Linked DNA regions of Drosophila melanogaster. The gene in region 3 interacts genetically with the main gene of each other region. Each region holds a gene or a part of one and is shown on either strand. Other genes may lie near its edges.

Region 1 (10,341 bases), on a different chromosome or scaffold from region 3:
AGAAAAGCCAAGGAGTGAATTTTTGTCAATAGAGTAACATGAAATACAATTAGCACTAACGATAAGGAAATCCGTGGAATGTCCGGATTTTAATACTTAATACTTCAAAATCGCCCCTTTAGAAGGGGTCAGCAGAGCAAGCAATGACATCATTTAGGGGAGAGGGTGGGTCAGCATGCAGAGAAACAAACAAACAACACTCTTTGCCACAGGAAATTGAAATAAATCAGAGGGAGATGGCAACAGCCCAGGGCTTGGCAGCCATACAATGTTGGAGCTCACATACAAACACACAGGCAGGCCAATTTAACTGTTTATCGCGGTGGCAAACAAAAACAACATCAGAAACGGCAATTGCGAGAGATCGCACCTCAAAAAGAGAGCGAATAGAAAGAGACGGAGAGAGCGAAACATTAATTGAAGTGTCTATCAGAAAATAGCAGAGGATGACGTAATGCGTACGCTTTGGAATTATGAGCAATCAATGAAGAGGCACAAAAAATCAACTGGTACGCAAGACTACTACGAACACGGAATCGCCTGGCAAGCAAACAAAAATATCCTATGCAAACACAGGCCTTCAAGAAAGTCAAGGACACTTGCCCACCCAAAACTTTGGCATATGTAAGGCAAGCACTTTGCTTTTTTTTTATTCGTACTTAAATATCTTGGAAACACAAACAAGCAAAGAGAGGGAGAGTGTGCTCTCCCGCTTTCTCTCATCTGAAGTTGCCGCACCACCACCACCACCCGATGACGTACACACACACAGCGTTCTCTACTCCTGCGTAACCGCACACACACATGCACAACAGGAGCACCAGATACTTTTTCTTAAGTTGCAATTGGAGTCAAGAATTTTGAAAGAAATTCAAAATTTCTATTACTAATCAAGCAGTGACATTGCACAGCATAGCTTTTCAGTTATGGCCAAGACTTTTCTCTCACTTTAGCCCCGTTAATTGGATTTTTGTGTTGCCTTCGAGGGTGTGGCGTTGACCCGAAAAATTTTCACTTTGCACGCACACCGAATTTCAATTGCATTTTGAACCCAACTAACAGTGAGCTACGGACGAAAACTATGTAGAAACTTACACTTTGATGGCAATCTATTTGTTCACAGTTACTTTGTTAATTTAACTATTGATTTGCAGTAGTTATTCGTAATTTTCACGGAGCGCCTCTATTTCACGGGACCGCAGTTTTTTTCAATATGTCGGCCGATTGGCGCAGAACATTGACATCAATATCGCGATTTCTATCGATGTCAATCGATTATAAACATAGTTCTCTTTCTGGTCGCTTTGGCGCCTTAGTCATCTCATTATTTTTCTAGTAGATGTAGATGAGTAGTAGTAGATGATGTAAATAAATTAAAAACGACAGGGTATTTCAATTCAATCTGGTGCACTCATGCATGACTACTATTTCCTAGCGCGGCCCCAGAGTAAGCGGGGCTTATTATGGTATTATTCCGCAATAGCCCTGCGGTCACACTAATTTCCAGAGCAATCCAAAAAAAGGAAGCAGCCGAAAAAGAACAAAAACCTGCAGCATTTACATTCAAATATAAATCCGAAGCAAAGAAACAGCAAAATGGTGGACTACAGCAAGTGGAAGAACATCGAGGTGAGCCCACTGCTGGGTGCCAACCCAAAAAGTCCTCCTAATCGGCACACTACCTTTTAGATTTCGGATGATGAGGACGACACTCACCCAAACATAGACACGCCTTCTCTGTTCCGCTGGCGGCACCAGGCGCGCGTGGAGCGCATGGCGGAGATGGACCACGAGAAGGACGAGCTTAAGAAAAAGCGCCAGAGCTACCAGGCGCGCCTCATGGACGTCAAGGAGCGGATCTCAAAGAAGGATGGCGACGAGGAGGCCCTGAAGGTGGGTCATTGCACCGAATGCACTGCGCACTTGTTGCTTAGGCTAATGCCTGGTCTGGGAGTTCCCTATGTTCTCAATCCATCTAATTTATTCTTATTGTCAAGCTTATGATTGACTATCATCCTAAGTGGCCATCCATCTTTCATCGCAATGCTTAATCCCTAATTTGTATCGCCTACAGAAAGAGCTCGAAAAGATCGAGGCCGAGGGCAAAGAGCTGGACCGCATCGAGAGCGAGATGATTAAGAAGGAAAAGAAAACACCCTGGAACGTGGACACCATCAGCAAGCCCGGCTTTGAGAAGACCGTAATCAACAAGAAGGCCGGCCGCAAGCCGGATGAGAATCTGTCCGAGGAAGAGCGAGAGCAGCGCATGAAGCAATTCGTCAAGGAGAACGAGAAGCTCTGCCAGCAGTATGGCATGCTGCGCAAGTACGACGATTCGAAGCGGTTTCTGCAGGAGCATCTTCACTTGGTGGGCGAGGAGACGGCCAACTACCTAGTCATTTGGTCCATCAACCTGGAAATGGAGGAGAAGCACGAGCTGATGGCCCACGTGGCGCATCAGTGCATTTGCATGCAGTACATTCTAGAGTTGGCCAAACAGCTGGACGTGGATCCTCGCGCCTGTGTCAGCTCCTTCTTCTCAAAGATCCAGCACTGTCATCCCGAGTACCGCGCGCAGTTCGACAGCGAGATCGAAGGTTTCAAAGGACGTATCCAGAAGCGTGCGCAGGAGAAGATCCAGGAGGCGATAGCCCAGGCCGAAGAGGAGGAGCGCAAGGAGCGCCTCGGACCTGGTGGTCTGGACCCAGCCGATGTCTTTGAATCCCTGCCCGATGTACGTTCTAGTGATTCACTGTATGGGAATTACTTGACTAACTTTTCATGTATTTGCTCCGCAGGAACTAAAGGCCTGTTTCGAGTCCCGCGACGTAGAGCTGCTGCAGAAGACCATTGCGGCCATGCCCGTGGACGTCGCCAAGCTGCACATGAAGCGTTGTGTGGACTCTGGTCTCTGGGTGCCCAATGCCGCTGACTTGGAGGGTGACAAGAAGGAGGAAGATGACTCGGATGACGTCGCCGGTGGCGAGGAGAAGACCGACGATGCCAAATCAGAGAGTGCAGCCAAGGAGGAGCCCATCTACACTGGCGTCAGCACCGAGGACGTTGACTGATCGCCGCCACGTTTCCATCTACACCATAGCTCTAATCTTAATGTATTTGTCCACAAGCATATTTCATCCATAGCCAGATCCTGCGTCAGTTGAGTTATTGTATATAATTTGAATAAATTCTCAGTCACACGTCAAACATTCTGTGAACACTTCTGCCAGTTGTTATACGCTTCGACTCCGAATAGAAACAATGAACCGGCCGGAGCTGGACTACTACGCGGTGCTGGATCAGCCCAGAGGCGCCACCAAGGAGCAGATTACTCTGGCCTACCGCCGCCTGGCCATTCGGCTTTGCCCACATCGCGACAAGAAGGACGAGCAGGACTTTGTGCCGCTGGCCCAGGAGGGTCGTCTCACGCACCTCTCACCCATGGGCGAGCCCAGGCAGTGGGCCTACGTCAACATGGCCTTCGATGTGCTGGGCAACGATCTGTACCGGGCCATATACGATCGCTTTGGCGAGGCGGGTTTGTTCGAGGGCGTCATGCTGCCGAACGGATACTTTCCGCCCTATCAGTACGACGGCGACCACATGAAGGTCTACGAGCGGGTCTTCGGTAGCTACTCGCCGTATGCCAACGTGATCGATGCGATCTCCAATCCACCGAGCTTGTACGCTACGCGCCAGCATGGCATTGGCGTGCGTTCCAAGGACGCCAGTACGGAGAGGATCATCGAGCTGTCGCTGGAGGAAGTACGCACTGGCTGCGTCAAGCTGATGAACGTGTGGCGCCAGGAGATCGTGGACGCCAAGGAGTCGCGGCTGGAGAAGCGCAAGCACACCTTAAAGCTGAACATTGCCCCGGGAACTACGGCCGGAACTCGCTTCTGCTTCAAGGAGGAGGGCGATCGCTATCCGGCCACCATTCCGGGTGATATTATTTTCATTGCCGCCGACAAGCCGCATCCGGACTTTGAGAGGAGAAACCAACACGACCTGGTCTACAGGCAGTCTATTGGCCTGTGCCAGGCCTTCACCGGCTTCACGTTCTTCATTTGCACGCTGGACCGGCGCCAGTTGAAGGTGGTCATTACGGACGTAGTGCAGCCGGGATACACCAAAGTGGTTCCCCTCGAGGGACTCCCCAAGTGCCGCAATTTGGATGCAGTTACGGCCATCAAGGAGGCCAACAAGAAGGTGGAGCAGTTCGGGGATCTCATTATAGAATTTGATTGTGGGTTTTCCTTTTCTGTTGGAGGTTTCAATAGTTTCTGATAGTTTCTCTGTTTCTTCTGCAGATATCTTTCCCAAGTACTTGACTCCACATATGAAGCATATCACTCGCGAATTCTTCCGCGAATTCCGCAAGCTCGAAATAGAATTGGAGGAGGAGGAGGAACGTAACATGGTTTGATGGCAGACACCTTATTGTTTTTCCGTATTTGGAACACAGATATTTGTGCGTACAGAGAAATTAAATTCAAAATTTGCGTTTAAAAGGATAGATGTTGTTGGGTTATTTCGTATAGCCATATTACATACGAGCACATGCAGACTATATTCAAAAATCTTAGATTTAATTAAATTAGCAGATGTAACGGTCGAATTTGAATTGATTTTGAAAAGGTGGCAACTGTTCCGATTATGTCGATTGCTTATCGATGCACAACGCAGCCGCTCGGCAACCCTGTCCATCAGCTGTTTGTGAAAAGAAAATGCATTTGGCATTCCATTTCAGAGATAATTAAAAATCAATTACAGCAGCAGCAGCAGAGCAAGTGGCCACCGAAAAGAGTGCATAGGAGAGGGTAAACAACTCGCTGCATCCAAACGGCACAGTAACTGATCCGAAGCTGTCCCACTTAGAGCCCAAATCGAATTACCCGTTTTGCAGTTTAGGACAAAGTGTGCCAACGCCACAACGCCCCCACCCAGAAGTCCATAGAAACGCCAGCGGAAGTGGGATAGAGACGGGGACCACGCTCCACTGACCGCACCGCGCACCGCTCGCTGACCACGCCCACTGACGCAAGATGCACCTCAGCGCGGATATTTCCAGCGCCCTTCAGCAGATCGAGGCAGTGAAGAAGGGCATCGATGAGTCCGACGACCCCAAGCTGCAAATGCAGACGGCCGAGAGCCTTAGCACCATTCTGGGCATTCTGCAGGATCCCGTTTTCCGCACCATCGTCCACGTGCAGGACTCGTTGTCCGAGCTGAACGCCCAGCTGGCTCAGCATCCGTCCATGTTGCCCAACGACTTCGACATCGATGTGGCCGGCAACCTTGTACTCAGTCTGAATGGTGGCGAGGTGATGTACGACTTTGACGAACAGCGCTCTTCCTCGCACTCCCATTCGGCTCCGGGCAGTCCAGATAAGTCCGGAGGCGTCGGCGAGGAGCCGCGCCCGCAGAGCCAGAACTCCAAAGGAGCCGGAGTGGCGGATCTCTACGCCACGGACTACGCTCAGATCCAGGCCATAGAGCTGGTCAACGACGGCACGGGTCTCGGATTCGGTATTATTGGAGCTCGCAACTCGGGAGTGATTGTAAAAACCATCCTGCCGGGTGGCGTGGCCGATAAGGACGGACGCTTGCGCTCGGGCGACCACATCCTCCAGATTGGAGACGTCAACCTGCACGAAATGGTATCCGAACAGGTGGCTGCCGTGCTGAGACAGTCTGGAACCCACGTCCGCCTAGTGGTTGCCCGTCCCGTTGAGCAGAGCGTGCCTACGCCCCAGTACGCCCTGGAACCGGGCACTGCTGTGGTGCCCACGCGCGTCCTCGTCGATCCTGCCGAGCTGGAGCGGTACCTCATATCTACCGGCTATCCGGAAATCTTTGGCGAGAGCTCCACGGCCTCCACTCCGCAGACCACCACGGAAGACGATCGTTTCGTTTATCGCGGCGAGACATCAATGCTTATTGATCCAAACATCGACCTAGAGGAATTGCTTGCCCTTCCTGAAACGGAGAAGCTTCAGGTGGAGCTGAAGAAGGATGCCAACGGCCTGGGCATCACAATTGCCGGCTATGTGTGTGAGAAAGAAGAGCTGTCTGGCATTTTCGTAAAGAGCGTGTCGCCCGGTTCAGCAGCGGACCTGAGTGGTCGCATCCGGGTCAACGATCGCATCATTGAAGTTGACGGCCAGTCGCTACAAGGCTACTCCAACCACCAGGCCGTAGAGCTGCTTAAGAAGTCTGGTCAGGTGGTGAACCTGCGCTTGGAACGCTACCTGAGGGGCCCCAAATTCGAGCAGCTGCAGCAGGCTATCGCTGCGAATGACAAGCTTCCATCCAGTGCACCTGGAACGCCTTCAAGGGCTCCCATGCCCACGCCCGTGGCCACAACGTCCTCCGCCACAACTACACCATCACGCAGCATCACTCGCGAGTTGGAAGAGGAAGCCTTACCAGCGCCAGAAGCATTCATGACCACTCCGCCGTCGGTCACCACAATGACCACCACCACATTAAGCTCCTTTGGAGCGGGTAAGCAACTAGTAGCAGTAAGGGACTCCCTAGACGGCTCCACGAAGATCATACCCACGGAAGTTGTACCCTTGGCGGATAAAACGGAGGTGAGTATTAGCTAACGGGTAACACAGCAGCAAAACGTATAGCGCATTAACATGTTTTAGGCCAAGAACAGCGGGGTGATCACCCGTCACAAGTACTACACCGATCCGGAACTGTCCGACGACGCCGAAACCGAAATTATTCGCAAATGGCAGAAGATTGTGGGCTCCGATGTGGAGGTGATTGTGGCCCAGATCAAGAAGTTCGCGGTCGGAGGCTTGGGGATTTCCTTGGAGGGAACCGTGGACGTAGAAGGAGGGCGCGAGGTACGACCCCATCACTATATTCGTTCAATCTTACCTGATGGACCCGTTGGCGTGAATGGAGTACTCCGCTCTGGCGATGAATTGCTGGAGGTAAACGGCGAGCGGTTGCTGGGTATGAACCACCTGGAGGTGGTGGCTATACTTAAGGAACTGCCGTTGGATGTGCGCATGGTTTGCGGTCGCAACAGGAACAGCTCGCTTCTCCCATTCTCTGATGACACCCTGAAAAAGCTAAGCAACAACTTTGAGAACCTGCTGCCTGCTACCGATCGTCTGGTGAAGGCCAAATCAGATGGTAGTCTGGCCACCGCGGGCTCCGTGGCCGATGGAGATTCAGTGGCTGCCGCCGCTGCTTCGTTTAGTAAGCTGAAGTCGCGCTCCCTGGAGCCACTAACCGGATTGGCTATGTGGTCGTCCCAACCGCAAATTATCGAGCTGGTCAAGGGCGATCGCGGTCTGGGCTTCTCTATTCTGGATTATCAAGATCCGTTGGATCCCAACGATACGCTGATTGTAATCCGTTCTCTGGTCCCTGGAGGGGTGGCTCAATTGGACGGACGCCTTATACCCGGAGATCGACTTTTGTTTGTGAACTCCATTAACCTGGAGAACGCCTCGCTGGATCAGGCAGTGCAGGCTTTGAAGGGTGCTTCGAAAGGAGTGGTGCGCATTGGTGTGGCCAAACCACTGCCCATGACGGACAACTCACTGAAGGCTTGCAGCAATGCGAGCACCACCAGCGAAGAGACCTTGGACGCCCAGCCATCGCCTCCAGCCTTGCCCACAGTTGCTCCGCCCGCCATGCCGCCTAGTGCCTCCATGGGAGCTGAGCCCGACCTGATTCCCGACTGGCGGAACTAGGGTGTTACGATAACGAAGAATTTCACACATTCCAGGCATTTGAATCTTTAAGCCTGTTTTAAATCAAATCAAACGCGGTTGCTAACTAATGGATTAGTTAATCGATATTTTCTACGAATATGAACAACAGGCAGTAGAATCTGAAACGATGTCAGAAACGATGCCAGAAGTACAGGAGCGATTGTTATTACCGAAGCAAAATGTTATGCATATTATTAACGCCGAATTGTGTTTGTCCCCTGAAAACAAGCATTCCACAAGTATGCAATATATTAAACCCCCTAGTATTAGCAAATGAATTTTAACATGGTATTTCCAGAGTGTATGTACTTAAACTAAATTAAATAATGTACCTTCCGTACGGTCAATGAGTATCACTTGGGGAAGGGAATCGATGATTTGGCGGAGGGCTATTGGACCCGGTTTAGCTGTCGCTCGATTCTCATGTAGTTGCGCCTGGACAGGACTCGATCGCGGGCATAACTGACCAGGTAGCTAAGTAATCCGATTACAAAGCACGAGACCTCAAATTTCAAGAAGTTCATTTGCTCGATGAGCGCCACCCGGTCGCAGCTCCTGGTTACGATCTCGCCGCTCTGGCAGCGCAGCACCTCCTTGTAGTGCGTGTGAATGCAGACGCCCAAGCTCCGGCTGACTATATCGAATTCGGAGCACGGGTGGCACTCCTGCACCATCGTGTACTTCTCATTCCGCCAGCAGGTCGAGTTGTCCTCGATCACGAATTGCGGCTCTCGGCGACGAGGACCATCTGCCGCGTAACGAGATTCCACGAACAGGACGAGTATGGTGACCATCGTTAGGGCTCCTAGTCCAAGGAGCATGTGGTGACGCTGACAGTTCTCGAGCATTGTGAAGGCGGGCAGCTAACTCTTGTATCGGATCAAGTGCTGGAAACAACCTGGAAGAACCTATGCATGCTCAGTAGGTGGATAACTCCAATACATATGGACGGGATTACTCGAAATCCTATTGCTTTGCTTTTCCCCCTATGAAATCAGCTTTACTGTGTGACCAGGCGAGAGTTTTTATTTTTGTTCAGCCGTCTTTGGAACTAGTTCTTGCTTGGCATTTAAGATTATATATTAAAAAAAAATTGAATTTGCACATGCATAGATTTCGTAATTTAGATAAAGCGTTAAATTAAGGGAGAAAATAATATTTTTCGAGGAAATCTTATAAGCCGCGTATTCCGCTCCGATTCGCGGAACTGCAGATGTGTGGCCAGACTTCGGGGAGCTCGAAACTAGTTCGCTGTTTACGAACGACAATAAACGGAGACCAAAACAATTACGGAGGACAAGCACAAAGCGGACTTGAGAAATTTGTGAAAATTTTTATAAATCGCGTGTGTGGGCGCTTTGAAAATGGTGCTGCGATCGGGAATCATAATTCCGTTTCAGTTTCGCGACACGAAGAAGCTGCTGATGATCGGGGTGCCGCAGGAGAACCGCGACCTAAACATATGGGACCTAAAGAACGTGGGTAAGCACTGGTCTGGTCGGAGAGGGGGAGGTGGCTCAAATCACGGAGCCCCCAAGCGATTTGGTCGCCAAAAATGAAATATGTCTAACAAATCCCGCTCCACAGTGCGCGCCGCCTTCGGGATCTACAACTTCGAGTTCCGGAACAAGAAGATCGGCTTCAACATCCCGGACGAACTGCTGCTGCACTATCTGGCCCAGAGGCACGACCTCACCAACTTCGTTATAGAGATCAGTCAAGGTAAATAGCGTTTAAGTTACGGCTAAGTCGCGTTTCAATTAGCGTTTAAGCGTTCGAGTGACTGCGGGCCACCAAAAGTCGCGATTTCGCGGAGTTCCGGAGTTTCACAGTCAAGTCTTGTTTGTAGATCAGTTGTGTTTATGTAGACGATGCGTGCGCTTCGCTTGTAAGTCTCTGCGATTGCCATCTGTAATAAAACCCAAATTGTAAAATGCTCCCTCTTGCAGCTCTGGACGATGGCCACGCCAAGGAGATGCTCTCCTACGAGCCCTCATGCTCGATGGCGGTCCTGAAGCACCACCCTCATCAGCACCAGCACCACGTGCCTCTGCCGCAGCGGTCAAACGAAAGCGCCTCGCACCACGCCCATGAATATGTGCCTGACTCCCAGCCCACCTCTCCGGCCCTACGTATGAGTTCTGAGGCGGTGGACTCGCCACTGGACCAGCAGGGCAACAACTCGGTGCCGGAACGCACGGATAGTTCCCACAAACTGCGCCTGGGGCAGGCTTACTCGGAACGGACGCCGGAATCGATGACCCAGGCCATTGACCCCATGGATATTATACCCAAGTCGGAGTCCGAATCGGAGGTGGAACGTCTGCAGCGGGCCTCCAGATTCCTAGCGCGCCAGGAACAGCACCAAGCCCAGCAGCAACAGCACCAGCAGCAGTTGCTGCCCGGTCAGCAGATCTTCCCCAGCTACACGCATCCTTTGCCGTCGATGAATGCACCAAATACCTCCCAACAGTCGCCTTACACACCGGGTCTGATGAGTCGCTTTAGAAGTGAGAGAAGTGCTTGCAAAAGTCTGAAATCCGAACTAAATCCTTAATAATTCTCTTAAAGAACGCGGCGAACGCATGTCCAAGGACCA
Region 2 (11,811 bases), 2.3 Mb from region 3:
TCAAATCATCGGCATCCTCCAGTCCGACGGACAAGCGAACTAGACCGTCAGTGATGCCCAAAGTTTTCCTATCCTCCGCTGGAACCGAGGCATGGGTCATTATTGATGGAAGCTCGGCCAGACTCTCGTAGCCACCCAGACTCTCTGCCAGGGTGAACACCTTGAGGGCCTTGAGGAAAGCCGAGGAGTGCTTCAGCTCGCCCTTAATGTAGAAGGAGAACACGCCGCTGTATCCGTATGCCTGCTTCAGAGCGATCTTGTGCTGCGGATGGGAGGGCAAAGAGGGATGCAACACCTTCTCCACGAACGGATTCGTCTCCAGGTATTTGGCAACCTTCAGAGCATTCTTCTGGTGCTGTTCCATGCGCAGCGAGAGCGTCTTAAGACTTCTGTTCACCTGATAGCAGTCGAATGGAGACGGCACAATGCCCACTGCGTTCTGCAGGAACTTCAAGCTTTTGTAGAGCTTCTCCGAGTTCATGGTGATGCCACCCATGACCACATCCGTATGACCGTTCATGTACTTGGTCAGGGAGTAGCAGACCAGATCAGCGCCCAGCTCCAAGGGTCGCTGGAAGTAGGAGGTCAGGAAGGTGTTGTCGACGGCCAGGACGATATCCTCGCGTACTCCATGGACCAGCTGCGCAATAGCCTCGATGTCGGCTACCTTTACCAATGGATTAGTTGGTGACTCGATCCACACCAACTTGGTCTCCGGCTTGATGGAACTTTTAATTAGATCCAACTTCGTGGGATCCACAAAGGTGGCTGAGATTCCCAGACGGGTGGCAACCTGTCGGATCAAACGGTTGGTGCCTCCGTAAACATCGTCGCCCATGATGATGTGATCGCCGCTGCTCAGCATAGTTAGCACAGCGGTGGTGGCTCCCAATCCCGATGAGAACGTGAGGCCGTATTTGGCATTATCCAAGGCGGCGAAGCACGTCTCCAGCACGTTCCTAGTGGGATTTCCACTGCGGGAGTACTCATAGCCCCTGTGCTCGCCCGGTGCATCTTGCTTGAAGGTGGTGCTCAGCGATATCGGCGGAATCACGGCAGCACTCTTCCACTGGTCGGGGCTCTGGCCCGAGTGGATGGACTTGGTGGCGAAGCCGCTCGGCTGGACTCTGTAGCTCATCTTGTCTGGGTAGGAGGATCGTTGGGAACTGACTGACACGTGGAGAGAGACCGTCGCGAATATATATACTCCTGCCAGATGTTATCGCCTAGCCGGTAATTAAATATTTCGACCGTTACAACACTACATTCGCCGACAGTGATGGAGCTCTAGCTATTAAACGGCTAGAAAACGGAACCCTTCAAAAGTAACGATACATATATGCATTGAAACGATGGATATTCTTACTTTCCTTAGAACTTCTTCGATTATTTATACAATAATTTATTTGTTGATAAAGCACAATAATATTACAATCGCAGCTTAAGAGTAAATACGATACTGAACAGAAAGGGACATGCGGAATGGGTTGGGAACTATACTCCAAGGTCTACCACAGTTTGTCGCTGAACACGATCTCCTTGAAGATGCAATCCTGCTTGGCGATGCTGACCATTGCCTTCTTCGACTTCATGGCATCCTGCACCTTCTCGCGCACCTCGGCCGCCTTCACATCGTTGCGAATGTAAAAGAGCCGTACCAGGTGGTCCTCGTTCAGAGACGGATAGCTGCCCAGCAAGGTGTGCAGGTCCAAGACGAGCAGTTCGATATCCGAGCTAAGCAGTGCCGATAGCGTGGATATAAGATCCAATGGAGAGTCGCTGAGGGAAATCTTCGGCGCGATTTTCTCAAAGAAGAGCTTAAACCGCTTGGCTTCGGTCTTGATTTTTCGCGTAATGGCATCGCACTCGGCCCGTGGCTTAGACAGTCGCTTGGATAGCAGTGCCCTAATGTAGCGCTTGGCCAGCAGCTTCTGGGCCTCGTTGATGACCATCTCGAAGTTATTGGGTCGCAGGTGATTATAGTCCTGGAAGTAATCGTCCAGCGTTACACAAATGGTGTCCACGGCAATGTTACTGGCCAGCCACTTGGCAGTGAATAGGTCGTTAAAGTGACACTCCATGTCCAGGAAGGCTTCCTCCAGCAAGTAACTTGCGGCATGAGCCCGGATCCGCTGGAATGTGGCAAGCAAACGTTCGAAATCCTCATAATGCTCAGTACGTGACTTGGGCCAGTAGAGTTGTTTCATCTGCTGCGCCAGTTCAACCATTTGCTGACTGTTATTCACGATGGTGATGATGTAGTGAGTGAAGTATTTGATCTGGTCCCGATTGCGAAAATGGTGTTCCTTCAGCTCGATTACGTTCTTAAGATATGTCTGGCCAAAGATCTCCACCTGCTGAATGCTCATTACCAACGCCTTGAACGTCAGTTCCTGATGAATTGTGTTGGTCACCTGCAGATGCTGGTCGATCATCTGGAATATGATGACAGGCGCTGAAGTGTGGTAGTACTCCTCATCCTGATCGGGCACCGTCTCAGTAAACCACTCCTGCTTCTCCGTTTCTGCGGCCTTGGTCATCCATTCCTGGAAGTTTCTCTGCATATTTTGCAGATATTCATCTTCCAGCGCTTTGAGATGTTCCGGACGCAGCAGAGTACCTATCTGTCGGTGTACATCCACATTAAGATCCGGATGGGACATCAGCTCGACGCCAGGATAGGTGTGTGTAACCCAAGCCATCATTGATACATATTCATTGCCCTCCAAGCCCGAGCGCACAATGTTGTCAAGCTGGAATTAGTAAATATTAGTGGTATAAAAACATTAATCAATTTAAATGATTGACGATTACTCACATAGCTAGAAAGTCCTTCGTGATAGAACTTGACATATTCGCCGAAAATGTCGTAGTGCGGCGGGAAGCAGGGCACACAAAGGGACTTCACAACGCGCAGATCCTCGAGAATGATTTGACGCAATATCTCCAGGTCTCGTACTAACCACATCTTGTTATCGGCCCGCTCCTCTAGCTTGGATCCCTCTATGCGCGTTATCACCGACTGTTGTAGCACGTCCATGATCATGCGGCGCCAAGCCTTTGGTCTTCCAGGCGGCAGGAATCCTGTGACCTTTTGCTGCTGCAACGCGAACTGGTCGTTTTTCTCTTCCCGCTCTATGATGCGTAGGGCGGTAACGATGATGGTGGGCTTCTTGCGCAGAGTGTTCAGCGTGCGGCTAAGAATGAGTCGCAGCTTTTTCTCCAGCTCTTGGGATACCGTGTCAACCTTCTCGAAGTGACGCTTTAGGGTGATCTTGTCGGACGCATGCTGCTTGGGCTGCTTGTGCAGTTCGTAGAGAAGATCATCCCGCGAATTCTCCAGATCCGCCAGGCACTGATGGGCATTAAGCAGCTTATCATCCTCGATCAGCGCCATCGTCTTTTGTACGCTGGCATCTACGTTGAAGATGTGCTTCAGATTCTCCATGGCGGTGGCGTACTGGGAGTGCTTTGTGTTTTCCTCCCGCACAACTTCCAAAGCGTCGTAGACTTCGGGAACGCCCCTCAGCAGGCGCTCCACCTCGTCCATTCGACGCCTTACCTCGCGCACGTCCTGCATGCAGGTCTCCAACTGCTTAAGTCCCACCCTGACCCCGTCCAGCTGTCCTTGCATTCCGGTCTTAAGGAGCGCCTCAACGGATGCCTTCTTCCGGGCGATTCGGTGGCGATATTGTTCCACCTTCTCCAGTTGACCTGGTCGCTGCAACATGTTCTGTATGTCCTTGAGCGCTGCCTGGCGAGCCTGCTCCTCCAGCTGCTGTAAATCCATCTTCAATTTATTTGGATCACTTTCAGTCTCTGTTTTGGTCAATCTTCGTCAGCAGTGGAAGTGCTGGTGTGACCATATAGCAGTGCGGCTGACAATCTCACTTCCAAGAACTACAGTGTAACTTGACAATAAGCTATATTCTACTCTTAAAATTATTATAGTTTTATTGTGTCTTAAAATTTTTATTTTATTCTTCAAGCTTAAAAAATTATGAAGTTAAAGTATATCTTTTAGTTTGCCAAAGCAACAGAGGATTCGACCTAAGTATGGAAAACTGTACTTATCGATAAGTTATCTTCTCATTGGTCTATCGCCATCGAGAGCTTTGTTTGTTTATAATTTGCAGCCAAACGTTTGAACGTAAACAACGCCCTAAGCAAAACATGAGCACGGAAAAAGAGATAATTTTGCAATTTGCTCCGTGGGAATCTTTTGTGTCGCCCACTTTCTGGCACAAGCTAGCGGAGCTTAAGCTCGACCACGATCGCCTGTCCGACTCGAAACGCTCCATTACTGGACACTACACAAATCGTAATGCAAGTGGATGCCTTTTGGAAGTAGACTACACGGCCTACAACAGGTGAGCTTGAAAACTACGAGTTTGATGAAACCAGCGCTTGACCACCCACATTCCAGAATGGCAAAGCCTCCAAAATTCAGCCATTCCGCTATAGGCACCATCTACAATAAGAACACAATCGAAGAGTTCAAGGCCCTGGACAAATTACAACTGCTGGCCGATGAGGGCAAGGAACTGCTGGCTGATATGTGCAGTGGTGGCGCCTTGAGAGATCCCAGTCTATTGACCCGGTTCTTTGTTCTCTCCTTTGCCGATTTAAAGTGTCACAGCTACTACTATTGGTTCGCCTTTCCGTGCCCGCTGACGCCCACCTTAAAGCTTCAGGGAGCCGTCCAAAAACTGCGGGACTTGCCCAATAGTAGTAGCTATATAATGGCTCTAAAGGCCTTACCCACTGAGTCACAGAACTTCTTCATTCTGTATGCTAATGTGGAGAAGAACATTTTCGAAGCCCGTAGTTTAAGTTCCCTTGACGATAAAAATGTTGAGTTCTGTTATTTTGGTTTTGCTGATCCCAGCGAGTATGAGCATCCAGCTTGGATAATGCGAAACTATGCTGCCTTTCTGCTTCAGCAATGGTAGGTAGGAATAGCAATGTTATGATATCAGTTCACACAGTTGTCGGTCTATTACAGTCCCTCTTTTGTTGGAAAACCATTGAAGTTTCTTGGCCTGCGACACAATCAACAAATGAACATCGATGACAGCCTTGTATGGAAGGTGATTCAGACTGAAGCTTGCGATCTTAGCCAAAGCGAAAATATAAAGTTCGTGGGCTGGGAGCTAAATAAAAATGGCAAAATGGGGCCAAGAATGGTGTGCATGAGGGACAGCATGGATCCAGCCAAGTAAGTTAATAGCTATAGACTTAAATGATAAGAACTATCAGTTCATTGAGGTGTGTCCTTAGTGTTAGCTACCACGACAGTTGAAAGTAACTTGTTTATTATTTATAATTTAACAATATTTCTTTCCGTAGACTCGCTGAGAACTCTGTAAACCTGAACCTGAAACTAATGAAGTGGCGCCTTGTTCCCGATCTCAATCTCGAAATCATCTCCCAAACAAAATGCCTGCTCTTTGGAGCTGGTACTTTAGGATGCGCTGTAGCTAGAAATCTGCTGGTGTGCTTTTATACGAAATGATTTAACTGATCTGATAACTAATAGTTTATTTATTTTGTAGTCCTGGGGATTTAAGCACATAACCCTTTTGGACAGCGGCAAGGTTGGGTTCTCTAATCCAGTGCGTCAGAATCTCTACACGCATGCAGATGCTGTGGCAGGCAATCGGATGAAGGCGACTACAGCTGCTCAGAGATTGAAAGAGATCAATCCGTCTGCGGAAACGGCGGGTTATGTGCTGGAGATTCCCATGCCTGGGCATACTATTGGAGAATCGCTTCTAGCCCAGACGAAGGAGCATTTGAAGGTTATCGAAAAGCTTGTGCAGGACCATGATGTCATCTTTCTGCTCACAGATTCGCGCGAAAGCCGCTGGCTGCCCACCCTGCTTGGAGCGGCAAAGGAAAAAGTGGGAACAATCATATACTCACCTTTCAGAAGAGATGTACCTAAAATGTTTCCCTTATAGATTGTCATCAACGCAGCTTTAGGCTTTGACAGTTATCTGGTAATGCGACATGGCACTACGCGTAAGGAAGCAGGCGACGATGGCCAAGAAATCGAAGGACTTAAGTGCATTAATGGCGATCAATTAGGTTGCTACTTTTGTAACGATGTTACGGCCCCTGGAAATGTAAGTCCCATTTGTTGTATAGTTTAAGATAACATTTGTATTTTCAGACTTCATTAGTTGGGTTAACATGGTTACTAAACGCATTCGTAATCATGGCGGGAATATTTTTCGAAGCCAGCGCACGTAGGATCCCCCGTCTGCAGGTGATCCACACCAGTTATCTGCACTACCAGGCCATTTATGCTGGTCACCTTGAAACCCACTAGATTCATCATGGCATTAGGTGTGCGCCAGGTGTAGCTGAAGAAGTTATAACCGTCCACTGCAGTCAAAACCTCGCGTTCCGTAAACGCAAGCGCCAGCTTGAATTGCTGGTTAAAGACGAAGGGGAAACCTCCATGACGCTCCTCGCTTCCGAATCTATAAAAAGAATTAGTTAACGCCCAAAGAGGTACGGCATTATAAAGTTAACTTACTCAAAATTTTTGTTCATGGAATTGCGCACTACTGCCTTCTCATCGAAACGCACACTGAAGTGTAGCTCTTCGCGCTTGGTATCCGAGTCCATGAACTTGATTATGAACTGTCCCTTTTTATTCTCGAAACACCGAGCTGTAAGGACAATCACATGGCCCGGACTAAACAAAATTGGCTGATCGTTACTGAACGCCTTAAAGTAGTCCGAGGCGTGAACGGCTGGCCACGGATTTGGAAACACAGTACGATGATCCACCTGTTTAATGACTTGGATCTGATCACGGATCTCCAGAGCACGAATCGTTCCCAACGGCATGCGGTAGCGGAATCTGCAGAACTCTCGGCTATTTATCGAGATGGCAAAGCTGTCCTCGCAACAAAGAATGTAGACCAAAAAGAACTCGCCACTGACGATGGGATTGGGCAGGGTGTTGGGGTCCATGACATGGGACTCCTCCTCGCCCCAGGCGCCGTTTATCCGGGAATTTCGAACGATCACATCGTTCCGAAAATAGCATGAGAAGCGTAGCCCAATATCTGCGTTCGGATCGACCGTGCTCTTGGCCGTGCAGAGGTTAATGTGGAACCTATCCGAACCAAATGATCACAATCGATTAGTCACGTACTGATAAGAAGCCCAATTTGACAAGTAATTAGTCAGAAAACGGAAAAGCGGTCTTACATTAATGCCGGACAACACTTACCTGGCTGCTCCATCGATGGTCTTGGCCACGACCTCCAGAACATGACCAAACTCCAGCGGATGCGATAGATTGCCAGCGAATTCGGTCAACATGATTCCTTCCTGCAATTACCAATTCAACTAACTATCGCCTTTGTACTGAACAATCAAGCGCAAAATGTGTTTTATAGTTCCGTGGGAGAGTCCGGAGTTCTCCGGCTCTCCCAAATGTTAAAACTTTATCTAATCAGTGATGGGCGGAGCGGCGGGTTGCTCAAGTAACCGATACAAACGCCGAAGTTTTCTATATCTTGTGTTTTTGGTTTTTAAGCGCTGCTATTTGTTTTGTTCTCGCCCGAAGGCGTCATCTTTGTTTGCTCGGAGCATGTGTTTGTGGACACAGAAAAGCTTTCAAAAGCTCTTGATCGTACTACTGCACCGGCGTCGAATGTGCTCCAAATCACACTGAAAAAAACTCTGTATAAAAAAATCTCTTATAGACTCGCTTTATAAAGTTGTACGTACAAATTTGGATACAGATACTCATTGCATTTCGTTCTATTCCATTTTCAGTCGCTCAAAGACCGAACTTTGGATCAACAGTGCACAGTGACACGACCCGGAGTATCCAACATTGCGGCCAGCTATGCGGTGGAATTGTTGGTGGCTTTGCTGCAGCATCCTCGTAAGGAGCTGGCACCCGCCTACTATGCACAGAGTGGGCGTGGCAGGTCGGAGGAGACGGAAGAAAAGGTGCCGGAGGGTCTGCTAGGAATTTTGCCTCACTCCATCCGTGGAATGCTGTGCAACTACGAGAATATTCTGCCCGCCACTCAAAAGTTTGCTCAGTGCATAGCCTGTTCAGCGGTAAGATTTGACAATCTTTTAAAATGGTTTTGATAGCGTTTTCAATATTGTTAAAATTTTTTTTTTAATATATTCGCTTACAGGCCGTCCTAAATGAATATAAAAAAGAGGGTCATGCTTTCCTGTTTAAAACTTTTGAAACAGCCAAGTTTCTGGAGGATTTGACGGGAATCTCCGAATTCAAGCGGTTAAACAGCGAGGTTTGTTTGTTTCCTGTGTTTAATCTAATGGAGATATTTAAAAATTATTCATATTTTTGCACAGATTATCGATTTTGATGATGAAGAATTTGACATGTCCGATAGCGACGAGGATTAGGTTCCACAAAATTGGTCAAGTTTTATCTTCAAAGCAAAATATCTTAAATATGAAATTCAGCTTATTGTGGCTTTAATTTTCTGCAGCATTTATAGTTCAATGTCTATACCAAAAATGTGTGTACTTCAATGCTTTTATTCTATCTAGTCGTTAAGCAAATTGTGAATCATTCAAATGAAATTGATGTGAAAATTAGGCATAAGAAAAATGTGAATTTACTATTGAAAATTGTAATAATAAAAGTGTGAATTTACTATTGAAAATTGTTATAATAAAAGTGCTTAAGTACGGGAACAAATGTATTTCCGCCAATTTACAAGTCGCAGCCTTTAAGCTTTGTTTGTTTGTACGAAACGTGTTTCTGCTGATAAGAGCACTCATTTATAGGCGAAAATATTATTCTGATCTGAGAATTCCCATTTTTGTGGTTGACAAATACCAAAATATTGTTTTCAATTCCCGATCGGTCATTGAATATGTTATTAGCTGCATTATTCAAGGCGAAAACACGCAAACAAAGATGAATGTTCGTATAAAATTGTTTTGGGAATATGCAAATGATTTACATAGTGGGCCAGGTATGCGAAAAGAATAGTTCAAAGTTGAATAAACCTGGTTAGAAAGCCACGAACTAATCGCATATGTAAATTTGCTTATTATGTCTCGGTCAAAGTAGATGACATCCTAGAAATACGCTCACAAATGTTATACTTTAAAGAGATATGTAAAGTTAAAACTATATTTTTAGTCCAGGAATATAAAATGTTTAAATTTTCATTAAATGGTTGTATGAAAATTTACCACTTTAATTTATCAAAGTGGTTTTAGGCCAAGTGTTTTGAGCTGAACAAATATTGGCAACAAGTACTTGACACACAATTCGTGTGCGTTTCCAAGCGATTTGATGATAAAGCCTTTCATCATTTTGACCCCAGGCCAAAATGGAGCTAGAGAATTCCATCCACTGGCTATGACAAAAGGCTCCCGGCCATTTCTCTTGGCCAGAAAAACAAACAAGAAAGAAGATCGACCGAGAAAGAAGAAAAAAAAAACGGCACGACTCCATAATTAATAGTTGGATTGGGGGAGAAATGTATTGAAATATATCTGGCCGCTCAACCTCGGATCGACATGGCGGTGGTGGTAGTGGTGGTAGCATAAATTTCGGGCCTGGCCAACTGAGCAAACAACAACAAGCCAATTTGGAGCGAGTGAAGCCGCTTTGAGTTTGGCTCGCGGCCCCAAAAAGCGCTCAAAATGTGCTCAAAATGCCATTCGAGCTGCGATGCCTCTGCCAGCGTCGCCTTTTGTCACTCGAATTGCGTTTTGAGTGGTTAACCGGGGTTTGCTGGCCAAGATCTTCATAAATTGGTGAAAGATACCCAAAACGGGCACATAAGCTCGGCGACGCGCATCCAAGTGGCAACTACCCAGTGAAAAGTCGAAAAAGTGCAATACCAAGTCCTGAAATTAAAAGTGTTTTTAAAAAGTGAATTTCAAGTTCATAAAAAATTATTCAGTTGCCATAGCTAAGAGAGAAATTCCAAGAAGTCAAACAAAATGGTAAGTCCTTTATCCTTCAAATCCCTTTCCCTGCTGAAATTGTACGAAAATCAGAAAATCAAACTTAAATCGTAGTTTGTTGAACTGTTTCGAAAATTGGCAACTGCTTTTCACCAATTTTCCAAGCTATTTGTTCGCATAATATTTACGCAAATGGCAGTTCGCAGCTTTTAGTTTTTGCTTTGACTTTGCTATTGGCCTTAACCTGTTGCGAAAGTTGGCTGCCAGCTTGGCAGTTTATGCTTTTTGGCCATTGCAAAACATTTTTCAAATACCTTGATGTGGCACCAAGGGGAAAAGATTTAACAACATTGCATGGGGATCGTAAAAAAGTTATTACCTTTAATGCAAGCTCAAGTGTTTTATTTATTTCGAGTTTTCACCTGAAGTTATATAATTAAATTTATGAGTTCAATTCATATCGTGTTAGGAGAAACAATGACAGAATCATTTTCTTTGTTTAACATTTTAATGGAGAAAGTAAGGTCAGTGTGTTAGTCACTAATTAACTTCCTGAGTAACAAAGACACGACTGATCTGCTGACAAATGGCAGGCAATTGAGAGAAATCTGTAACGAACCTGAAAGTAGGCAATACTTTCTCGAAACAAAAAGTATCTCAAAGTGTTTCGGTTAACTATAATCCAAAACTAGAGAAAGTCGCGGTTCTTTTTTTCAAATGAATTTGCGGGAAAATCCCGGCTGGTAAGACCCGCAGATCTTGAAAGCAAATTCGTCAGCATCCAGATTCAACCAGCTATCAGTTATCAATTGGTATATTAACGTATCAGTGACAATGCCCGTATCGCCCAAATATTTTTTATTGTCGGCTCCAGAGTATATTGTGGAATAAATTTGTTTTTTATTTGCCAAACGATCCCATTAGATCGCCGTTAACCTCTTGTCTCAAATTCAGGCACATCTGTTGAGCCCCTCCTGGCAACATTCGATCTATCATCATCTACTGAGAAATACGTGTATTATATAGCCGAGGGTATTGGTAAAATCTGCTATTGATAAGTTGGATGGACGGTTATCGCCGGCGACTTCTTGTTTTTGTTATTGTTTTGGACTTGCGCCTCCGATTTACGTCGGATCCGAGCTGATTATGCAGCCTGGACAGGAGAGCGAAATCTCCAGAATTCAGTTCGAATTTTGCGATCCGAGGTGGAGCGTGTGCGGTTAGTCGAAGCAATTCAATCAATTGTAACAGCAACGAATCGGAATATTCATATATATATATACCAATAGCTATTATCAGCGATCATCGACTTTACAACGTAATTCATCTAAATCAATTGAGCAGTGATCTTTATAGACTTTATAGGTAGTTTTCCACGCCCTTCAGCCTCAACTGATGCACCACCACTCTAACTTCCGCTTCCCTTTTCGCAACCTAGGTCAATCAGAGCAAGCCCAAAATGGCCCTGTCCAAGATCGACACCGAGATCGAGCAGGTTGACCAGGAGAAGTACCTGCGTCAGGCCACTAGCTACTATCAGCCGCTGGAGAAACCCCTGAAATACGGACCGGAGGTGAATTCCCTATCGGACTTGGTGGCCGCCCTTCACCGGGAATTCGAGTCGAACTATGTTAACATCGAGATGGTGAATCACCTTATGCTCAGCTACAAGTCCAATCCGCGGGAGTGGCGCAAATATGCCAAGTTCGATCGTTACACCTACACGCGGAATCTCGTGGATGCTGGCAATGGAAAGTTCAATCTGCTGATTCTGTGCTGGGGCGAAGGACACGGCTCCTCGGTGCACGACCATGCCGATTCCCATTGCTTCATGAAGATGCTGAAGGGTGATCTGCGCGAGAAGCGCTACGAGTA
Region 3 (10,121 bases):
GAGGCATCTCAACAAAAGAACAAAGCGAATTGATTTTGAATTCAAAATAAATCACATCTAATGATGAAGTTTACTTTGGCATGCAATGACCCCAGAATACCAATAATTAATTGTTTTTTTTTTTTTTTGTAGAAAACACCTGCTATGCCACCAGAAATGTATGAATCCATACAGTTTGGGCCCCTTTTTACCAACGAGATAAATTTCTATACGGAAATTCTGCCAGAGTTTCAGAAGTTCACCGATGGCAAGTTTGCCGCACCCAAGTACTATTACGGCGAGTTGAACCAGCATTCGGCTGTGGCCATTCTGGAGAATTTCGCGGAGCAGGGATGGCGGGTCACCAAGGATCGTGTGGGTCTGAGTCTGCAGCACGCCATGATTGCCGTGAGTTACCTGGGAAGGTTCCATGGCTTTGCGTACGCCATGAAGCACAAGAACCCGGAAAAGTTTGCCCAGCTGACTGACAATCTGAAGGAATCTCGCTATGCCAACGATAACATTCATCCGGAATGGAAGCTCACCATGAAAACGAGCATCGATCGAGCGGCCAAGGCGGTGGCCACCTATCAGCCACAGATCGACGAGGAGTTTGTTAAGAAGTTCTGTTTCATGATCTCGGACTATTCGCAATACGGTAGGCAACGGGTGGCGCCCAGGGAGCCACTGGCCACCCTGTGCCACGGCGATTATGTGAGGAATAATGTGGCGTACAGGTACGATGACAAGGAGGAGCCGCAGGAGATCATGATGTTCGACTACCAGACATTGCGAGTCTCCTCTCCCATGGTCGATCTCAACGTCTTTCTAGCCGTGTCCATTTTTGCCGAGGTACGCGATCCAAACTTCGAGGCCATCTTCTGTGAATACACCTTGGCGCTTCATAATAGCTATAGGGAGCACGCCAAGGAGGAGGTTCCGGATTTCCTAAGGTGAGTTGTTATTATTATTCATTATTCATAAGCTTTTAAAATTTCAAACAAGCGATATGAATGCAAATCAAAAATCTAAAAATACTCATTAGGTGCTCGATGTGATAAGATAAGATAATCCTGTAAAGCTTTTTACTGCCAAGAAATAATATAATACTAATTACGCTATTTCTTAGTCGCGGTGAGCTTCTGAAGGAGTACGTGCGTTTCCTGCCGTACAGCTTATCCATATCGGCCAGTTTCCTCATGAGTTTGGTGGATCCCTTGGACATCTCGCCCGAGGAGATGTTCGCCTTGCAACTGTCTGACGAGGAAATCATCGAACGGACCATGAATCGAGGTGGAGAAGTTGTGGACAGGGAGGTTGCTCACCAGGTTAAGGAAATGCTGGAGCTGAGCCAGGCGACAGGGGTGTCCATTGATGACGGCATTGATCTTGACAAGTTGCCCAAGGAGTAATCAATTGATAGCCTAATGTAAAAGTATTCAGGCATTTCAGGTATAGCGTAACTGTAGATAATAAAATAGATGTTAAAGTGACATGCATTACCTATTTAGAGTTTAATACACTGTTTAACCGTGACTAGGAATTTTTAACAGTGGTGGGGGAATCGTAAATTGTGGGCTACTTAAGATTTATAATCTTATCATTGCGTTTTTTTCAAATGTTTATTTTTATAACTGTTGCTTTTGTTTTGATCGCACAACGCCGCAGCTGATTGTGTTTTTGCTGAACTGCCAACCTGTTGTAGTTCTGCGTTAACCAGCACTGTCACACATGTGAGAGTGAAATATGAAAATGGTTCAACCTTCGCGGCAGCAAATTTTGCGTTTATACAAGCATTTAATTCGTTACGGCAATCACCTAAAGCTGACCGACAAGAACTACTTTCTGGGAAGAGTTCGCCACGAGTTTCGGGACAACCGTTCCCTTACGAATCCCGTGGAAGTGGAATTCAGCTTTAAGGTAAGTGCCACTTTCGTATTTCATAACTGATTTACAAAATGAACTTATATTTCAGCGCGGAGAGACCCTGCTAAAGAAGGGACGCATTCTGTAGGAATGCTGCGAGGTCTGGTGCGATTCCTGGCGCTGCCTCCGACCGCTGTGCGCTGCAAGTCCAATCTGGACTACTCCCGCTTTCCCGTGCTTCAGGAGTCGGATATCGAGGAGACCTTCATGCGCGGCAGTGGTCCTGGTGGCCAGGCTGTCAACAAGACATCCAACTGCGTGTTCTTGCGCCATCTACCCACCAATATAACGGTCAAGTGTCACACACATCGTCTAGCATCAAAGAATCGAGTGGAGGCTCGTAAACTTCTACTGGAAAAACTGGACGTGCATCTAAACGGAGAGCATTCAATTGCCGCGCAAGTCAAGGCACAAGAGCAGAGAAAGTCCACTGAGCGGCGGCGGCGACAGGAAAAGCTGCAAGAAATGAAGAAAAGCTGGCAGGATAGAGAGCGCACAGATGGGGGAACCAAATCTACCGATAAAGAGTGATAACTTTTACTTCTAAAACGGTCTTTTAAATATTTATTTTTGGAAAACAATGGGTTACCAACTGGAGAAATCTCCAAAACCATTCGCCAGTTTCTTCTTCTTGGCTGCTTGAGCGGATGTAAGTGGCGCCTCTGGCTTTTTGGCCACTGTCTGAAGTTTCAGGTACTTGCCTACGCCCTCTCTGTACACCTTCAGTGGCTCCTTCATGCGCTTTTGCTGCTCCTCCTTCTTGACAATCTCCTCCTTGCCGGCCGCCTCCTCCTCGCGCTCCTTGGCCAACTGTTCGGCTGCCTCGGCAAATGGATTCACAAAGACCTGTGAGGACTCAATGATGATGTCCTCAATTGGTCTGTCCTTGTTATCCACCTCGATATTTTCCATCTTTTGAAGAGTGTCTAATCCTCCGACAAGCTTTCCAAAGATGGTGTGTTTGCCGTCGAGATGTTTGCAAGAGCGATAGGTGATAAAGCTACGAAACAGCGTATACTTGCAAAAGCATTGAAAAAATGTCACTTTGTGGTACTTACAACTGAGAGCCATTGGTGTTGGGTCCCGAATTGGCCATTGATAGCACTCCTCGGCCCGTGTGCGTAAGATTCGGCTTAAACTCGTCCTCAAACTTCTTGCCCCAAATGGACTCGCCACCAGAACCACTTCCAGTGGGATCACCACCTTGCACCTGTGGATAAAACCATAGTAAATTAAAGTTTCTCTCAAAAGAGATCGTACTTACAATAAAATTCCTTATGGACCGGTGAAACATAACATTATTGTAGTAACCATTGGCGCAATGCTTGATGAAGTTATCGCAGGCTCGAGGAGTTTGATCGCAGAAGAGCTCCAGGTTGAGAGGGCCAAGGTTCGTATTTAAACGAACGTAGCCCTTCTTTTTTACCCGCTCGTACTTGACCAAATCATCATCTATGATAGCCGCCTCTATTTGGGAAACGGGCACCATGGCGGTAGACGTAAAACTGGCCGCCACCGCTCCAGTTGAATAGTGAGCTGCGTTGAACTTGTCAGCTGTACGCTTCGAAGTGGAGGCCTCCTCTTCCGCTGGCTGATAGTCCTGCTGCAGCTGTTCCAGCGTCTCCTTGGTCTCCAGATTCATGGTCTTAATGCGGCCGCTGGCTGGATTCTTTCTCTCTTGCTGCTCTTCTTCCGTCAGGACTCGTAGATTCTTCTTAATATGATAGAAGGTCGAGATGTCGTACTTTTCCAGCTTCTGAGGATCTTGTATTGTGATGATATCCTTACGCTGGAATGGCGTGTCATCCACCAGATCCTTCCAGTTCTTTGTCTTAATGTTCAGCTGGTCGATTGCCTCCCAGCAGTATACATTTCCAGTTGTGGCCACCGCCACGATGTGCGAGTTCTTGCTGAAGGGCTTGAACAAGGCGGGGCAGTGGTACTCATCGTTTGCATTCCTGTGGAAGTTCAGCTTCACCAATGACTTGGAGTCCATCTTCTGCCCGGTGATGGGGTTCACCTTAAAGGTCTTGAGAAACTTAAGAATGGCCTCGTACTCGAACACATTGCCCTGTAGATCGCAGTAGGGCATCTCGTAGGGCGCCATCGTAATGCAGCAGTGCTCGAATGGCAGCCGCTTGAACTTGACATGGTCGTTCTCCAAGGATTCCACTTTTTTGCCGCCATACAGCTCACTCCACTCCGTGTACGTGAGGTACCTGTTAAAGCAATGGGTAGTCTTCATTTCCATAACTCGCTGGATGTGCTAAATACTTACATTTTGTCCTTTTGATGCTGCCTTTTACCCATCTTGGCTGTTTGTTTTTTTAAATTAAATTTGCAATAAAGTAAGAGCTACAAATAGTTTGTTTACAAATGCGGGAGAGAACTGCCAACTCTGTGCAGATTTATGTTGATGGATATCTAGGCTGTTCACACTTCGGGTACCATAAACAAAAGTATCGAGTATTTCAAAAAGTTAAAAACGAATATAAAAACAAATAACAAGAAAAATGCAAATTTAATTATTTATAAGTATTAATTTTATAAGATACCTTTGATTCTCCAATGTGTGTTATTTAGAGATGCCCTGGCAGTGTGAACACTGCACATTGGGCGCTGCAAGAGGTTCGCCTTACTTATTCATTACCCAGTATTTTGACGTTGGCCAACACTTCTCTTAGGAGAGTCAGCTGTTTGCTGAGAAGGTTCAGCAGAATCAAACAACAAAGAATTTTCCAACTTATACTATACAGCGATATAAATAGTCAGAACGGTTGACCTTGACGTTGGGCGATGTCTAGCCCACATATCAACTACCGCTCCCTGGCCGAGGAGGCGGCCAGTCCGTTCCTGGAGCACCATCCCTCCACAGGCCAAGGCCCATCCAAAACACAAGACGCAAAAGCGAACGCAGCTGCTGCGCATTTAGACCCCCTCGGTGAACACGGGCTGGAGCAGCCGCTGGATGAGCACGACACCGAGCATGAGGGCGAGGACACGCCTCGAAACAGTGGCGTCATGATCCACATGGTTCCGGAGACGGGGCGTGCGCGGTGGAACCACATCGAGGACCTTGACTCGTTCTTCTCGCGAATGTATCAGTACCAGCAGAAGCACGGATTCACAGTGATTGTAGTGGACGAAATGCTACAGGTTCTGGAGTTTGGTTTCGTCGTCTGGCTACTTGCCTTTGTGATGCACTGCGTCCGATTTGACGTGCTCTTTGGGGACACCCCTCCAGGGGGACTTAACCCCAACAAGACAACTTTATCCGATGTGATGTACCCCACAGGCGAGTGCTTAGCCAACTTCACTTGGGTCACGTACCTGGTTGTGTTCATAGCCGCTATCTATTTGGGCATAAGGCTTCTGAAAATGGTGTACCATATTACCCAGTACGCCGATATAAAGAGATTCTACAACTCTGCGCTTCATATCGAGGATTCGGATCTGGACAACTTTACGTGGCACGAGGTGCAACAGCGGATTCGTCGCGTCCAGGCCGAACAGCATATGTGCATCGACAAGGAGTCGCTTACGGAATTGGACATCTATCACCGAGTTCTGCGCTTCAAGAACTACCTAGTGGCACTGATGAACAAGCAACTGCTGCCTGTAAGGTTCCACATACCGCTGTATGGCGAAGTGGTCTCGCTGAGTAGAGGTATGTTGTTCAACATTGACTTCATCTTGTTTCGCGGCCCTGGATCTCCCTTCCAGAACAATTGGCAGCTGCGTGATGAGTTTGCGGTAAGAAGCAATCAAACGGAGCTGGCGCAGCGACTCTCCAAACTGATATTGGGGGTGGCGTTGTTAAATTTGGTCCTAGCGCCTGTGATCTTCGTATGGCAACTTATCTACTTCAGTTTCTCCTATGCGAACATTCTTCGTAAGGAGCCTGGTGCCCTTGGCCTGCGTACATGGTCCAATTACGGCCGCCTCTACCTGCGCCACTTTAATGAACTGGACCACGAACTAGATGCCAGGCTGAATCGGGCATATGACTACGCGGACCGCTATCTCAACTCCTTTTCCTCGCCACTGGCCGCTGTGATAGCCAAAAACCTACTCTTTATCAGTGGAGGACTACTACTTCTAATCCTTGCATTGGGCATTTACGAGGAACACGTCTTCCAGGTGGAGCATTTGCTTGCCATCCTTGCAGGGCTCGGCGCCATAGGTGTGGTCTGCAGAACTCTAATACCGGATGAGAATCTCGTTTGGTGCCCAGAGCAGCTAATGACCGCCATTCTGGCGCACGTTCACTACCTGCCCTCCGAGTGGCGGCAGCAGGCGCACACGACAAAGGTTCGCCAGGAGTTTAGCAACTTCTTTCAGTTTAAGGCTGGCTACCTACTCAGCGAAATCTTCAGTCCCTTCGTCACACCCTTCGTGCTGATCTTTGTGTTCAGGCCAAAGGCCATAGAGCTGGTGCGTTTCTTCAGGACGTTCACCGTATCCGTGCGAGGAGTGGGCAACGTATGCTCCTTTGCCCAGATGGATGTTCGCAAGCATGGCAATCCCGACTGGCAGTTAACCAGCGAACTGGAGGAGATGACCCGGGCTACAGCTCAACAGCCGCAGCAGGAGCCACAGCAGCAAAGTTTGGCCGGCGGCAAAACGGAGATGTCGCTTCTTCGCTTCACCCTGAACAATCCCGAGTGGCAGATGCCCAAGGAGGCCAAGCAGTTCCTGCGCGGCGTTAGAGAGCACGCCGTTGGTGAACTAGTCCAGGCCAAGACGTCGATGGTGCAGGAGAACCCGCTGACCAACAGCCTCATCTCATTTGGCACCATGGGAGCGGATTATTGTTCCATTGCGAACTCTGTGCTGACCGCACAGGTGACGCCCCAGCAACTGGAGATTTCGCAGTCGTTGCGTCCGGGTCTAGGACCGGTATCTGGAGGATTCCCCGTCGCAGCCAGCGACTTCCGCCAGATGTTGCAGCAGAATCTGTCCGCCAGTGTCGGCCCGCTGGACAGCATGCGCCGATTGCGCCTCAGCCGGGCTGAAGGCCGCTTGGAGGGTCCGACGGATACACTGCTCTACGGACTCTGTGGTGTGGACCCGCGCGTGGGCAGCACTCCCTTGAATGTGGGCGTGGCCGACATGTGCCTCAGTGCCCTCTATTTGCACGAGCTGAACCAGCAGAAGCGCCAAGCGCGCCAGTCTCGCATCGACGAGGCCGAGGACGAGCGTCCTGGTACGAGCCATTGGCCACCGCGACCACCAGCTGCTCCGTCGGCTGATACTGGCTTCGGCTCCCGCCATACCGTGATTACCTCAAAGGCTGCCGAGAGCACGCCGCTTTTGGGTAGCATCCGCTCATAGCAGCGGCCAGAGTGGATCTAACCACCTGTAGAGCTAAGGACCACCCATTCTGCTATTAGTGATTAACCTAAATTTTAAAGTGTAAACGAACGAACGACGTCGTCTAGTGCGTAGCTAAACTAATCTGAAACTAAGCTAAACTAAACGAGAAGCAATAAACATAAATGCATTATCAAATTGATCAGCTTTATTATTTCAAAGGAAATTTCGCTAGATAATAACTAAATCTATTAGTGTGTAGTAGTTGTGATTACCCATTACCCATATTTACATATATATATATGTATAAACTATTTACCTGGTTTGATTATAATGGCTTGTAAATCCTAAGCATTATCCGTTGTGTATCCTGTGTACAACAACTGAAAGGAGACACCATAAAAAAAATCCATTTTCATTGTGAAGATTATATTTAATGTCTTTACGGCTTATCCCGATCTTAGCTCTCCGGGATGTGGGAATGCCAGCTCCATCAGCACTGATGGATGGTCCCCATTTGTAGGCATTGTTGGCACACCACATCCACCTGGTCCAGAGATCCAGATGCGAGTGGCTGAGGAGAACGCATCCAGCTGTGCTGCAGCGCCTCGTGTGTCACTTGCCACACACGAACGCCATTTGGCGATTGGTGTTGATGGCCAATGCGGCGAGCAGAGACCAAAGACTGGAGGAGATCGGGGCGCACAGAGTGGACCGACCAAGTGCGTGCCTATGAATCTCCCAAGCCGGCAGACACCGATACAGATGCAGATACCGCCGATCCCCGCCAGCTGTGGCAACATTTATGAATTATGTGCGTGCTGCATGGAGCTGGAGCTGTAGCTGTAGCTCTAGCTGGAATCTGCGGCTAGATCGCTGGAGAGCCTTTGGATCACGTTGTCTCATTTTTCCGCTGCACGCCAATTTTGGGGGGGAGCATTGGCCAACATTACACGAATGTACGAGCTGCTAGACGGCCACTTGCCCGTTTTGGATGCATCCTCCGACTCTCGCAGTGCGATGGACGTTGGAGATGCAGTTGCAGTTGCATGTAGTACTAATTGTAGAGCCCGCGATATCCGATCCGGCAGAGAGAAAAAATGTATTATCATTTTAAAAGAATATTGAAATAGTTTAACCATAAGTTCGACAATTGATAAGATAATAGATTCGTTAATATATATAGATAGATAGATAGAGAGATAGATAGATAGATAGATAGATAGATAGATAGATAGATAGATAGATAGATAGAGAGATAGATAGATATATAGATAGATAGATAGATAGATAGATAGATAGATAGATAGATAGATATATAGATAGATAGATAGATAGATAGATAGATAGATAGATAGATAGATAGATAGATAGATAGATAGATAGATAGATAGATAGATAGATAGATAGATAGATATATAGATAGATATATAGATAGATAGATAGAGAGAGAGAAAGATAGATAGATAGATAGATAGATGGATAAATAGATAGATAGATAGATTCCTATGTATGATGGTGGTAAACTTATACTTACACCCATATCATACACTATATGATGTTTTTATCAATCAATTGTCATCCTTATAACGTTATATGCCTTTGTTATTTGGCTACATTACACAAATGTTCAATAAATTTAATTATACTATGCAATTTTCAACTAATGCTAATAGATTTTCCTCGGTGTAGATAAACGCATTGGAGTGGGGCGACGCTTATGGCTCAAATGGAAACATTTCGCGAGCCTTGTCAAACAATCGAATTTAATTTATGATTTCCTGCGCCAATCGAGTAATGACACTGCATGTGGTAGACCCCGGCGGACCCCGAATCTCTGAATATCTGTTGATCACTCGATACGCAATTTGGTCACAGCAGGGCCAGAAAAATTGGTAACGAAATATCAGAATTGGAATGGCCAAGAGGGAATGGTAATGCGAATGGATATGGATATGGATTGGATATGATCGTGCGGCGACGGGAGCCACTTGCATATGCGGCTGGCTGTCTGGGATTCTGATGGCCGTGGACCACCGCGTAGCGTTCGGCCAGCAGAACCAGTTCAAGATCAGGCGTCACTTTGCGCCGCTGACTGCCACTGACAGTTGGATAAGGTTTCGACTGCGATGTGGAGCTGGAGTTGGAACAGCGCGCTCTGTGAGCTCCGAACTCCAGACTTTAGACTCCAGATCGCAGCTGCCATTCCGCAATTAGAGCTTTTCCTGCAACTGTTGCTGCTGCACGTCGGCTGCTATCAAACGTGTCTCAATGTCTCCGGCAGCGACTAATGATGATGGTTTCATGTCCTCCGTCCTCCAACCCTACCCGCCGATCTCCTACAGATTCGAGTGTGAAGCATCAGCGTCCCCTTTGATTGACAACTGATCAGCGTTTTGGAGCAACGTTTCCCACTTTTGGTGCACGCACGTTCTACCCATGATAACTTATCGGTTTTTTTTTTTTCATAATTAAAAAACCGGCTTGCGATGGCTCCTTACAAATAGCCATCGCGACTGGAGGATCTCATTGGCTTGGGATCGGTTCAAATGGTTTAGTTGCAGCATCGGCATCAGCACTGGATTTGCATTGCAAATTAGAGTCGCCTCCATTGCTGCTTTCTCCCCCTGATCTTGTAATCGAGCCCCGATTCAATAAAACATTTAAACATTAAACTGCTTTTATGCAAATTGCCGGCATGCGCTTAATTTTGCGATCAGCCAGGGAGTCGGGTTTTTGGACTATGTAGCATCCGCTTGAATTATCTCCACATCGCATGCCTGCAACACCTTACGATCCAGCGATATCGATCCCGCCTCCTCTCGTCCAGGTGTAGATAGTATCTACAGCGGCCACAGATTTTGTGCTGCCTCCGCGGGCAGAGCTCCTCCTCCTAATGGCGG

What was found.
Region 1: of Atg9 (region 3) and Patj, changing one suppresses a phenotype caused by changing the other (phenotypic suppression), as found in Drosophila melanogaster (one study listed by BioGRID).
Region 2: of Atg9 (region 3) and Atg7, changing one suppresses a phenotype caused by changing the other (phenotypic suppression), as found in Drosophila melanogaster (one study listed by BioGRID).

The regions. Positions count from the first base shown.
Region 1 is NT_037436.4:1,794,104-1,804,444, forward strand, and holds Patj (patj), read left to right. Parts: upstream 1-4,699; 5' UTR 4,700-4,820; exon of another isoform or gene 4,821-4,850; intron 4,851-4,878; exon of another isoform or gene 4,879-4,906; 5' UTR 4,907-5,045; coding exon 5,046-6,596; intron 6,597-6,656; coding exon 6,657-7,721; 3' UTR 7,722-8,081; downstream 8,082-10,341. Other genes in the region: Cdc37 (cell division cycle 37), read left to right, coding at 1,597-1,629, 1,690-1,893, 2,075-2,734, 2,799-3,071; CG12020 (uncharacterized protein), read left to right, coding at 3,262-4,246, 4,311-4,426; JTBR, read right to left, coding at 8,132-8,590; CG42676 (uncharacterized protein), read left to right, coding at 9,107-9,224, 9,330-9,464. UniProt on the Drosophila melanogaster protein: Involved in cell polarity establishment. Probably participates in the assembly, positioning and maintenance of adherens junctions via its interaction with the SAC complex.
Region 2 is NT_033778.4:18,617,322-18,629,132, reverse strand, and holds Atg7 (Autophagy-related 7), read left to right. Parts: upstream 1-4,088; 5' UTR 4,089-4,173; coding exon 4,174-4,370; intron 4,371-4,426; coding exon 4,427-4,948; intron 4,949-5,005; coding exon 5,006-5,218; intron 5,219-5,349; coding exon 5,350-5,494; intron 5,495-5,555; coding exon 5,556-5,903; intron 5,904-5,963; coding exon 5,964-6,128; intron 6,129-6,146; exon of another isoform or gene 6,147-6,202; coding exon of another isoform or gene 6,203-6,488; intron 6,489-6,544; coding exon of another isoform or gene 6,545-7,132; intron 7,133-7,249; coding exon of another isoform or gene 7,250-7,341; exon of another isoform or gene 7,342-7,592; intron 7,593-7,800; coding exon 7,801-8,094; intron 8,095-8,177; coding exon 8,178-8,294; intron 8,295-8,358; coding exon 8,359-8,412; 3' UTR 8,413-8,667; downstream 8,668-11,811. Other genes in the region: Cth (cystathionine gamma-lyase), read right to left, coding at 1-1,138; Sec6 (secretory 6), read right to left, coding at 1,509-2,753, 2,819-3,790; CG5335 (uncharacterized protein), read right to left, coding at 6,203-6,488, 6,545-7,132, 7,250-7,341; CG5493 (uncharacterized protein), read left to right, coding at 11,396-11,811.
Region 3 is NT_033778.4:16,289,820-16,299,940, forward strand, and holds Atg9 (Autophagy-related 9), read left to right. Parts: upstream 1-4,580; 5' UTR 4,581-4,701; coding exon 4,702-7,239; coding exon of another isoform or gene 7,240-7,260; 3' UTR 7,261-7,413; downstream 7,414-10,121. Other genes in the region: JhI-26 (juvenile hormone-inducible protein 26), read left to right, coding at 133-932, 1,109-1,391; CG42372 (uncharacterized protein), read left to right, coding at 1,732-1,899, 1,955-1,993; CG30100 (uncharacterized protein), read left to right, coding at 1,996-2,436; CG7747 (uncharacterized protein), read right to left, coding at 2,491-2,905, 2,964-3,115, 3,170-4,124, 4,184-4,215.